Linked DNA regions of Sus scrofa. The protein of the gene in region 1 binds, or shares a complex with, the protein of each later gene. Links are inferred from orthologs where the notes say so. Each region holds a gene or a part of one and is shown in the gene's direction. Other genes may lie near its edges.

Region 1 (3,744 bases):
ATGCTGGAAACTGCACCCACAGCAGAGACTTCCTAACAAGGAAAGCGAGACGGTAGCGCGGTCCCTTCCAACCTCCCAACTGCAGGCGCGATCCCGCTCTTCCCCCTCCCAGTCTCAGCCGGATGGAACATTCCGTGCGAAAGCTTGGACCGGGCGCCCACTCCGGGTCACGTGGAGCAGGAGCGTCCTGCCGGCGCCTTGCGGGATGACGCTCGCTCGGGTTGCCAAGGGGCGGGGCAAGGCGCCGCGGAAGGGGCGGGGCGAAGGAAGCCGGCCGGGAGGCGGGGCGGGCGGAGCGGAGGGGCGGGCGGAGAGGGGCGCGCGGGCGGGGAGGGCCCGGCGTATTATGGGATGCGGCGGTGGAATGGCGCTGGGCGCGTGATTTTGAACAAACCCGGGTCTGTGTCTCGGAGGCGCCGCCGCCGCCGCGGCTGCTGGGAGCCCAGGGAGCGCGGCGCGAGGAGGAGGCGGCGGCGCCGCCGGCTTTGGTGAGTGTCAGCCCCCGGGGTGGGGGCTTCTGGGCGGGCCGGCGGGAAAGGGGGCGCTGCGGGTGGAGGCGCGGGCGGAGGGCGCCGGACCGCCCTCTCCGGGAGCCCGGCTAGTGGGTCGTGGCGGAGAGCGGGAACCTGCAGTCTGGGGGCCGCCGCGCCCCATCCCCGGGCCGCAGGGGGCGGGAGGAGCCTCCCGGCTCGGGCCCTTCCCGCCGGCCCTCGGGAGGGCGGCTGTCACCCGGCTGGGCCGCCGCTCCGCCGGCAGCCTGTCCTTCTGGGCGGTCTGGAGGGAGGGCTCCCGTGGCTGTTGACACGCACACGGCGCGGCCCGAGGAGCCGCCGTGTCGGCCCCGGGTTTCTGGGAACCGGTTTTGCTGCTGTGTCATTTCGTAGCAGCCCTTCCTTTCCCTACTGCCCGCCGCCCGGTTCTTCCTACGCCCCTTTGTATGGTGTCTTCGTGTGTGTCCGTTTTCCTCGCGAAGCCCACCAGCCAAATGTCATAATGTTCCCGAGGTGCACGGGGAAGGGAGCGGGCCAGGGCTTAGCCTGGCCAAGCAACGGTAAACACCAAGCAGAGTGCGGATGGATGGGGCTGGCGGAGGGGAAATAAAGTTTAAAGATGAAGAAGCTGGGCAGGCTCGATACTCCTGGCGTCTAGCAGGCTGCATAGAGAAACGACGACTGGGCCGATTGATAGATAGCACTTGTTTAAGCCTGAAGCTGCCGTCTTTTATGTGGAATTGTCATTCAAGCAAGGTAAGGAAGTGAAATGGCTTTTTCAGTTTCTTACTCTCTCTTCTTAAACTAACTTTGAAGAAAGACAGTCGAGTGGCTCTGTTCGAAATCTGTACATTCCGTTTGCTCATTTCAGACAGGTCTTATGCTGTAGTCGAATGGTAGGTATAGAATCCAGCTTTTGGATGGGTGGTTATCAAACCTGAAATCAATAAAGGCAGCTAATTTACGTGTTTTTTTTTTTTTTAATTCTGATCCCGTCAGAAGCTTGCAGCTTAGGTTTTCTTGTTATGTCTTTGATAATTAAAATAATCTGTATTTTCTTTTCGTTATTCATTAAACTGCACAATGGTGGAGCTGATGGGGCTGGGTAGGTAACTCCGGGGTCTTATTCTAAAGCAAGCTGCTTATTTTCACTGTATCAAATGAATGTCAGCGGCAGATTTTTTTTTTTTTCAATTATTCGGTGACTTAGATCCTTAAAAGCGTTTGGCAAAGCATTTCCGCTTAGAGGTATGTTTTCTCTATTTTAGAAACTGTTCACTCATGACTAGGGTCAATGCCTTGTAAATCTAGTTGCACTTTGACGTCTTAAGCCAATGACACACTGGAAGCCCCAGAGTTTATGGTCAGTGTTGATGATCAGAGAAATTGAGTGGAAAACAGTTGAGAACGTTACTGTAAACACTAGACGTTTTGACCACAGTATCTGCAGGAGAAGCCGTGCTGGTCATGGACAGAGGTGTCAGAGGTGGGACGTGCAGGTGGAAAGAGCCCCTTCTGTCAAAGTGGTGCTGACGGGGGAGGAAGATGTCAGCGTTGGTGAGTGACCTTAGAGGTCTCGATCCTGCTGTTGGGGTCGAGGGTGGACACGGTGCGTAACAGGCGACCCGTCCTCCCCTCCCTCAACTTGCTTTCCTGAAGATGAGAGAGTTTGGGCTCTTCATTGTCCTCCTGCCCCCGTCCGCCTGGCTCTTGCCTCTCGAAACAAAAATCCGCCGGACCGGGGAGCCCGCAGCGGGCGCGCCTTCCCCCGGCGTGGCCGCGGGGCCCGCAGCAGCCGCGTCCTCGGCTGCGGGGTGAGAGGGCTCGGCGCGGGCTGCGGGTGCGCTCGCCTCTGCCCGGCGCTGCGGGGCGGGCGGCCGGCCGGGCGGCTTCCCCGGATATGTGGGCGTGCGCCTCCGCGGGGGGGGCCCGGGGCGGGGGCCCGGCGGGGGCGGGCGGCGGCGGCGGCCGGGGCGCGGGCTGTCGGGGAGGCGGCTGCGCTGCGATGGTGATGACGAGGTGAAAATGGCGGATCTTTCGAAATACAATCCCGGCCGCTGACACTCCGGAGGCGGCGGCGGCCGCGGCGGCGTCGCCCCCCGCGCTGGCGGCTCGGCCCCCGGGGTCCGCGTGGCGCTCGGGGGCGGGCAGGCGGGGGCGGACGCGGCCGCCCGGAGCCGCGGGGCGCAGGCACCGGCAGCGGCGCCCGGGCTCGGCGCTGCCCGGGACCTTCGGGAGCCCCCACCTCGGAGCCGGAGGAGGAGAAAGCGGCGGCCGCCGGAGGTAGAGGAGGGTGCGGAGGGCGGCTCTGCGCGGGGTCTTTATTCGGGGGGGCGGGCGGGCGGGAGGAGACTCGCGCTGCGGCTCACGGAAGGACGAGGGCAGAGGGCACGGCTTCGGGAGCCTCGTAATGCCGTCAGCACGATGCTCTGAGGGTTCCGAGGGCTCGAGTTGGCTCTTATTCCTGAGGCTGCTGCCGAGGCCTAGAGGAACCGCTAGCAGTTGTCATGATTTCCTGATTTAAGACTTAAAATACCCTCTCTGGCGGGGGCCGCTTTGAAGATGTTCCCAGGTTCAGGGGTGGTATGTTTCTTTCGGGAGGCAGCGCGTTGGGCATTTTCTGCATTTCAGCTCTGGGTCTTACATCATAGTCTGTAACTTGTTGGGCTGTGGATGTTCACGTTTTTTGAGCACATGCACCAGTTTTGCAATGACTACAACTCTCGCCTCTTTCTTTTATGGCTCTGTCATCTGTAGAAGACCCTTTGGCCCCTGCCATTGGGCAGATAACAGTGGAGATGCTGTCGGGCATGTGCGATAGCCGTGTTTTTCCCTGCCCCCATCCATTTCGTGAATTCAGAGAGTAAAGTTATGGAAGATGTTGCAGTGGATTTTATGATCCAATCAGCTCTGGGGGCTCCAGGTTCACAAGTTTTACCTTCATTGTTAAGAAGGAAGTTACGATGGCTTGACAACGTGCACTTGATAGAAGTCAAATTTTAAGTCGGTTCAAGATGGCCTGAGATCTCTCTCCTTTAAATACCGGACTTGTTCGCCCTTTGTTTAAAGAGCTGGAGAATTGGGTTGACTGACTTTCTGACAGCCATAGTCTGATTTTGTTAGATTACCTAAAGGTCCTTGTATGTTTTTGATTGTGCTGCAGGTACCTGGAGAGTGGTGTTACTGAAAAGTTACATGTGAATCAAATTTTTATACATTAATTTAGGGCCCCCCCCCAGCTTTTGTAATGGAA
Region 2 (3,744 bases), on another chromosome or scaffold:
AATTATCTCTCCACTCCACCCCAGAGAAAGGTCCAAAGGTACTTTCTCACCTCCCCCACCTCGTTTAGGTATTTATTTAAATGGCACCTTTCCTGCTGCCTTCCCTGGGTACTGTGTTTAAGACAAGCCATCCTTCAAACACCCTCTCTACTAGACTGTTTTCCCCACAGCATGTGTACCAGCATGTAACAGCTAATATCTTGCTTATCTCTTTTGCATATTGTCTTTCCCACCCCACTAAAATGTAAGCTCACATGATTTTCAGATAGGCACACAATTAATAAAATGTATTAATATTGGAAGTGTATTTGGGGATAGGAGCCGTGATTTTCTCTTCAGCTTCTAGTGACCTGGCCTGGTTTGGATCTTATATGCCAGTGATTGAAGGACCCACATCCCGGGGCTCTCTAACCCACTGTCTGAACAATTCACAGGGTATTGCACACTTGGCCTCACACGTGGCCTCAATCACTTGTCCCCATTCTCCTTCACTCTGCTCCCCTGGAGATGACCCATTCGAATGCCTAGGGACGGAGATGTAACCGCCCTAGTTCCCCCTTTTCTAAGGGAGATAGGGTTTTCCTGCTTTAGGCTGAGGGGATGGGGGAGGATGAAAAAGTCAAGATTCCCACCATGGCCAGGGGAGACAGGGGAGGGTGTTTCTATATATTTTAGGCCTCAGGCCTGTAGCCTGCCCTGGAGGGGGCCGGGGAGCCGTGTGGTGGGACCGCTGCGGGGGGCCCACCAGGAACCTCCAGTGAGCTACCCAAGGCCGGTGCAGAGTGCAAGAGACCCCGCTTCCCCACCTGGCGGCCCCCTCCTCTCTTTGGGAAGCCTGGGGGCGGGGTTTGTTTACTCCTTGCACGCACCGCCGGCTTGGCCAATGCGTGGGGAGAGGCGCCTTACGTCACTCATGCCGAAGGCCAATCGGCGCTCACCGTGCTGCTCCGCCGCCAAAGCTCGCGCGGGGGAAGCGGGGCAGTGGCGGGGCCGGGAAAGGGCGGACGAAGCCGCCAGCGCTCTCTGCTGCAGCCGCCGGAGCTGCTCGGTAAGCGGGGCGCGCCCTGACCCTTCCTCTTTGGGCAGGCTCGAGGTCGCGCGCGCGCGCGGTCGGCGTCCCGGGGCCTCGAACTCCAGGGCCTCCACTGGGCAGGCCGCGGATCGCCCACCCTGCCCCGAGTGTAAATCCACCGGGACCTGGCCGCCGCCAAGCGCCGGCGCCACTGGAGCGGCGGCGCCCGAAGACGCGCCCCAGGCTCGAAGAAGAGCCCTGCGTGGCCGCCTTGTCCTCTGCAACCTAGCGGCGGTAAGGTCCAGGGCGAGGGCGCGGGCTCCGTGCCGAGGGCCTCTGGATTCGGCCCGCCGAGTTCCCGGGCAGGTTTCCCTCCATGAGCCTCCGGCCCCCTTGCAACCTCGGGTCCCATCTGTTTATTCCCACGCGTTCTTCCAGGCCTCGCCGAGTAACCCTTAAGGGTCTGGGGAAGAGTCGGAAACTCGAGACTCCCCTACTACCCCACTCCCCCGTACAAATTGGAGTGAGCCACCGTGCCTGAGTCACGCCTCGTGGAAGAGAGGAAAGGCTGCTTTCTCCTCTCTCGGCATCTTCAGGGGAGAAGGATGGCGTTAAGTCTAGGTTTCCGACTTTTCCTCCTTTCATGACCCATAGGCCTCCATCTCTCTCTATCAGGTGTATTTCAGAGTGCCAAAGCCTTTTGCGATTGGAAGAACCTCATCGCCCCCATAAGGGAACTTTTCTCTAAAGTAGAGGATCACTTTTGGGGCCCAGGCTCCTTTGAGAAATTCCAGAGAGCCAAGGTCTCCTCCCCTCTCCACCTTCCAGAAAAGTATAAAGGTTTTTGTAGGATCTTGTAGAGAGACTATGCAGCCAAGTGGGTGAGCTCTCAGCCTCTGCTACCAGCTGGTATTACCTTGCGTGTGGTCTCTTTCTTCATCTGTAAAAGAGTATCCACCTATTCGGGTTGTTGCCGGGAGTAAATGGACTAATAGGTGGAACCCTTTGGAACAAAGCTCATCTCCTATTAAGTGCTCTGCCCTGAATGAGTTAGGCCTTTAATTGACCACCGTGAATGGTGGTTTGTAAAAGGTCCCTCTATTGATGTTTCTCTTTTTTCTGCTGAAACAGTTAACAGGCTCATCATCCCTTTCTGTATTCACTGCTGAAGCTCCTTTTGAGCCTTTGAATACTTTGAATGCTTTTCTCTTCCTCATTCTATCTCTGAGGATTCAGACTCCCTTCCCACTTCTTTACTCTCTTTTTAGTAAGGCATTCCCTCCCTTCTCCGTTCTCCCCCAAATCTTTGTCTTGTGTTTTTTCATTTGACTTCTATAGCCTCATTCCGCCCCCCCGCCCCCCCACCGGGCCACTTTTCTTTTCTCTTATTGGCTTGTAATCATCTTCACCTAGTTGACATAGTTGAGGTTATTCATCTGTCCTCTGTACAAAATTACATAGAATTTAGTTGATTTGATCTTGCATGTTGCTTTTCCATTTCATTGGTTAGCCTATAATTTAGCTAAGCTTTATCACTATCCTGTTACTGTAATAAATCTTTCATGGCAGTGTCCATTCTCAAGTAGCACCCGGAGAAAAATCAAATGCCTAGACCCCGGATTCTGTCACACTTGTGTGCTGGCTCTCAATGCATTTGTTATTTATTAGAACATCTTGTGCCTGGAACTAGAGTCTAGTCTCATGGCAGACATGGTGTCTGTAGCACTGTTCTGGCAGTACAGTTGCAGTTTCAGCAATATGGCGCTTATATTTAATAAATGCCCAAGGCTTATTAAACTCTTATTTTTGAGTTCTCTTTATTTCTAATTGTTTAATTAAGAGGAGAAAACAATTTTCAAGTGTGTAATACCGTACATTACCATTTTGTGGTCATGTACCTTTCCATCCAACTCTTGGAACTCTGTCCTCCAACTGGCACCTTTACGTTTTTCCCTTGCAGCCAAAATCTTGACTGAGCTATGTCCTCTCAATGCAGCTTGAAATTGGATGTACAAATATGTTTCTCCTTTATGGGAAGGCATTTGCTGATGCAAATTATTCACTAAAACATACCCTAAGGATTCAGAGATGGCTTTTTTGTAATTAGGAATCGAAATGTGAATATACATTTGCTTTGTTGTTTTTTTTTTTTAGCGTGATAGATTGGCTTTGTTTTCTTGCTGTTGTTGTTTTATACAAAATGCATGAGTTAGTTATATTTACATTGACTTTACCATTTTTAAAACCCGTTTAGATATATGAAAGTTTTTAGAACATGGTGGGGAAACAGAGTGAGCTAAAATTAAATTCAAGGCAAAGGGAGTTCCCGTCGTGGCTTAGCGGTAGTAAACTCGACTAGTATCCATGAGGACATGGGTTCCACCCCTGGCCTTGCTCAGAATCCGGCATTGCTGTGAGCTGTGGTATAGTTCGAAGACGCACTCAGATTCAGTGTTGCTGTGGTGTAAGCCGGCAGCTGAAGCTCTGATTTGACCTCCTAACCTGGGAACCTCCATATGCTGTGGGTGGGGCCCTAAAAAGACAAAAAGTAAAAAAATTAAAAAAAAAAACATTCATAGCAAATTTAGTAAAATAGAACCTAGTGCTCTGACTTCTGGTCCATTGTTTCTTAGTTTGTCAAACTTAACAGTTAACCAGGAGTAAAAGATGAAAAGGGAGAATTTAAGATGAAGTCTTGAAAGCAAAGGGGGGACTTTCTAATTTGGGCGTTA
Region 3 (3,744 bases), on another chromosome or scaffold:
TTGGAAATCACAGGTCTCAGGCAGGCAGCTCCTGTAGCTCTATCTACTGTCTGCCCTTAGGCTGGCTTCAGAGAGGACCTGGTCCCTCCACCTCCACTCCCAGCCCCACCTCTGAGGGCAGAACTGAGTCACACTAAGGTGATTTTGGAGTGGGAACTTAGAACGTTACACCTGTTTTCCTTGGCTTTTATTTTCTGCCACTTGTTTCAGAGGTGTTTAGTCCTTTGCATGTGCTTGGAACAAACCGGGTAGCATTAACTATGTGTCCTTATTCACCGCCAACATAAACACTAACTTGGCTGAGCAAAAGTTAAACTCAAAGTCTCAGCAAGCCAAGAGGACAGCCTAGCTTGTGGAAAATACAGAACCACGGAGTTCCCGTCGTGGCTCAGTGGTTAATGAATCCGACTAGGAACCATGAGGTTGTGGGTTTGATCCCTGGCCTTGCTCAGTGGGTTAAGGATCCGGCGTGGCCGTGAGCTGTGGTGTAGGTCGCAGAGGGGGCTCGGATCTAGCGTTGCTGTGGCTCTGGCGTAGGGCGGCGAAGACCGCTCCGATTAGACCCCCAGCCTGGGAACCTCCATATGCCGCGGGTGCGGCCCCAGAAAAGGCAAAAAGACAAAAAAAAGAAAAGAAAAAAAGAAAATACAGAGCCAAAGCTGGGGAAGATAGCTCAGCAAATGGCTGCTTTGAGGGAAAGCTTAGTGTGCACTTCTAGAAGGAGACTCAAAGTTCACTCACTGACCCTCACCCCTCAAGTCCTTCCTCCTCCTCCCCTCCGCCCACGCCTTTACCTCGGGTTATAGAGTGAAGTAGGGTTGGGGAAGGGAACAATTTGGACGCTCCCAGAGAATGCCAAGAAAGGCGACCAGAAAAGGAGCTTCTGGAGCAGAGAGGTGGTTGGTGCAGAGGTGAAAGGGAAAGACGGTGGGCAGACCTACAGAGGTGAGGGCAGGGACCGGGCACGGCTGGAGGAGGAGAATGGTCTAAAGCCTGAAAGGGGTAGGCTCAAGAATAAAAAGGCCACGGGTAATAGTCCAGGGCTGGATCCAACGCAAGTGGATACCGAGTGAGATGTGGGACAGGGCCGCTCAGGTCCGATGGGAATAGGAGGGTCGGCCAAGGGGGGGTTGGTTCACAAAGCGGATGGAAAGGACTGAATTCCTAGTTTCATGAACCCTTGGCGCCACCCTCACTCGCCTGCAGGATCCGGGCCCGCACTGCCGCCGCAGCCAGCACCGCCGCCATGGTTCTCGGTTGCCTCTTCTCAGCCCCCCACGCCTTTCTGTGAGACTGTCCAGAAACACTACTGCTGCTAGGCCTTGCCCCTCCATCCTGCCGAACCTCTTCATTGGTGGAGAGGACTATTTCCCCTAGCCAATCACACGCCTTAACACTGACTCCACGCCCTCAGTGCCCAGTTCTGGGCGTATGCGATTGGTCAGAAGTGATAGAGCTCTCGCCTCCTCCCGCCTCAACAAATTCTGCTGGCGGAGGTGGGGAAGACGCCCCTGACTTGGATACTCTATATTGAGAGCACGAGGAAGACGCCCCCGAATTCGGAACTCCGATTGGCCACAGGCATGGCCGCAGCCCCACCCACTCACTGAGGAAAGTAAATAGGACTCTGCAAGAATTTTCAGCAGCGCCAGCACATCCACAGCGCGAGGGGGTGTGGCTAGCCCTGGGGGCGGGGCTACGGAAGATTACCCTATGGGGCGGGGAAACGAGACAGGACAGAGGGTTGGGGAATAGGGTTTCTCTCTGGGGGCGTGGCTTATGGACCCTAGCTTTCCCGCCGACGGTTGGCAACGTCACGTGACATGGGTTGGAAGATGGCGTCTCCCACAGACGGTAAGAGCCGGCTTATAGACCCTTCGCTTGCGACCTCCTTCTCTGTTCTCCTGGGAACTTACAGATGCTCAGAGAGAATCTCTCCGTCTGCCCCTCTAACTTACACCTTTTTCGTGGCCTTCTCGCCTTTCCCTTTTACTTTCCCACGGTATGTGGGTGCGTCTTCAGCTCGCTGGTTCTTCACAGAGGCTCCGGAGGTGCCCAGTTTCTTTGCAGTGTGCCAGGCGGATGGAGTAGGGCACCCGATTGGGACCCATTCCGGGCAAAACAAGGAGGGCCTCTCTGGTCCTCCTTTAGCCGCATTTGAGTGAGGCTGAGGGCCAAGGAGGAGATACTGCTGGGGTAAAGGAGGTGTCTCAGTGTAGCTTTCTCTTTCTCAGGGCGCCCCTTTGAAGGTTCGATTCTCTTTGAGCATCTGGAACGATTCTCTCACGCTAGCTAGGGTTGGTGGCAGACCTAATCTCGGGATTGAACCGCAAGGAAAATGTGATTCTCTCCTCCCTCCTCGGATTGGGACCGTTGTTCTGGCAGCAAGGGAAGCAGGAGACCCCTCTTGGTCCCTCTCAGTGAGAGTCCCTAGGAAAATGACAATTGAGCTTTTTAGTGTAGTCATGCACATTCATTCACTCAGCGTCTTTCTTCTATGTTATGTGTTGTTTCCTAAGGCTGAGTGAATGAATGATTTCTGCTTATATGTTGTATAAGAAGCAAGTCATCTGAGGTAGCAATTAAGTGGTTTTGGTATATCCACAGGGTTTTGCGCTCCGTTCTGCTTTAGGGTTAGGGTCTTGCAGTCATTTCTAAGCTCAGTTTTTGCCTCGACAAAATGCTTGCAGTCGTTTCTAAACTCAGTTTTGCATCTCCACGTCCATTTCACTTATACTTAGTTTTCTCTCAAACAAAGGAATTTTGTGTATGGAAGGAATCTTGGAAGTTCATTTCAAGAATGAGGAAGTTGAGGCCTGGAAAGCTATGCTGAGATCCACTATTCGAAAGGCATTATTATTCTAATTGCTTTGGGAGAGGAAAAGATTAATCAAACATGTAATATTTTTTCAGTTTCATTTAAATGTCACCTCCCAAAAAGGCTTTCCCAGAACACTGTATCTGTTTCTGGAGTTGCCTCACTTCACCATTATTCTATCTCAGTACCCTCATCCACAGCATAGTTATTCTGTTAACTTTGCCCCTTTCACACTAGCTTGTAAATTCCAAGACTGTCATGTTCATAGTTGGATCCCAGGGCTTAGCACAGTACCTGGCAGGAAGTAGGTCTTCAATTCACATTTATTGAATGAATGATTAGATATATACATAAATAATGTATTACTTAGTCTTAAGTTTTAACTGAGTGTTAAGTTTTTTGAGCATGGGTACGTACTGCAGAGGAAATTATGGGTGTAAAGAGTCAAAAGAGGAGTTACCATTGTGGCTCAGTGGTTAACGAATCCGACTAGGAACCATGAGGTTGCAGGTCCTATCCCTGGCCTTGCTCAGTGGATTAAGGATCCGGCGTTGCCGTGAGCTGTGGTGTGGGTCGCAGACACGGCTGGGATCCTGAGTTGTTGAGGCTCTGGCGTAGGCTGGCAGCTACAGCTCTGATTAGACCCCTAGCCTGGAAACCTCCATATGCCGCGGGAGCGGCCCAAGAAATGGCAAAAATATAGGAGAAAAAAAAAAAGAGTCAAAAGAGATTCTTCTGCCTGGGTGCTCTCTTGTTAAAATGTGCTTTTTTTTTTTTTGCCTGGAAAAAAAGGACATTTAAAAAGTTAACCAAGGGTATGAGGAGCTACTGTTTAATGGGTATAGACTTTTAGTTTGGGAAAGTGAAAAGGTTCTGGTAATGGATAGTGATGATGGTTACCCAACAGTGTGAATGTACTTAATGCC

What was found. The genes of interacting proteins can lie anywhere in the genome.
Region 2: LIN54 (region 1) and TFDP2 share a complex: the UniProt entries of both Homo sapiens proteins name them as parts of the DREAM complex. The link is inferred for Sus scrofa from reciprocal best matches to the Homo sapiens genes LIN54 and TFDP2.
Region 3: LIN54 (region 1) and LIN52 share a complex: the UniProt entries of both Homo sapiens proteins name them as parts of the DREAM complex. The link is inferred for Sus scrofa from reciprocal best matches to the Homo sapiens genes LIN54 and LIN52.

Annotation. Positions count from the first base shown.
Region 1 is NC_010450.4:135,330,590-135,334,333, forward strand, and holds the start of LIN54 (protein lin-54 homolog), read left to right. Parts: upstream 1-1,294; 5' UTR 1,295-1,825; coding exon 1,826-2,048; intron 2,049-2,463; exon of another isoform or gene 2,464-2,774; intron 2,775-2,866; exon of another isoform or gene 2,867-3,074; intron 3,075-3,744. UniProt on the Homo sapiens protein: Component of the DREAM complex, a multiprotein complex that can both act as a transcription activator or repressor depending on the context. In G0 phase, the complex binds to more than 800 promoters and is required for repression of E2F target genes.
Region 2 is NC_010455.5:82,934,918-82,938,661, reverse strand, and holds the start of TFDP2 (transcription factor Dp-2), read left to right. Parts: upstream 1-871; 5' UTR 872-883; coding exon 884-1,048; exon of another isoform or gene 1,049-1,306; intron 1,307-3,744. UniProt on the Homo sapiens protein: Can stimulate E2F-dependent transcription.
Region 3 is NC_010449.5:97,380,534-97,384,277, forward strand, and holds the start of LIN52 (protein lin-52 homolog), read left to right. Parts: upstream 1-1,486; 5' UTR 1,487-1,823; coding exon 1,824-1,854; intron 1,855-3,744. Other genes in the region: ALDH6A1 (methylmalonate-semialdehyde dehydrogenase [acylating], mitochondrial), read right to left, coding at 1,201-1,248.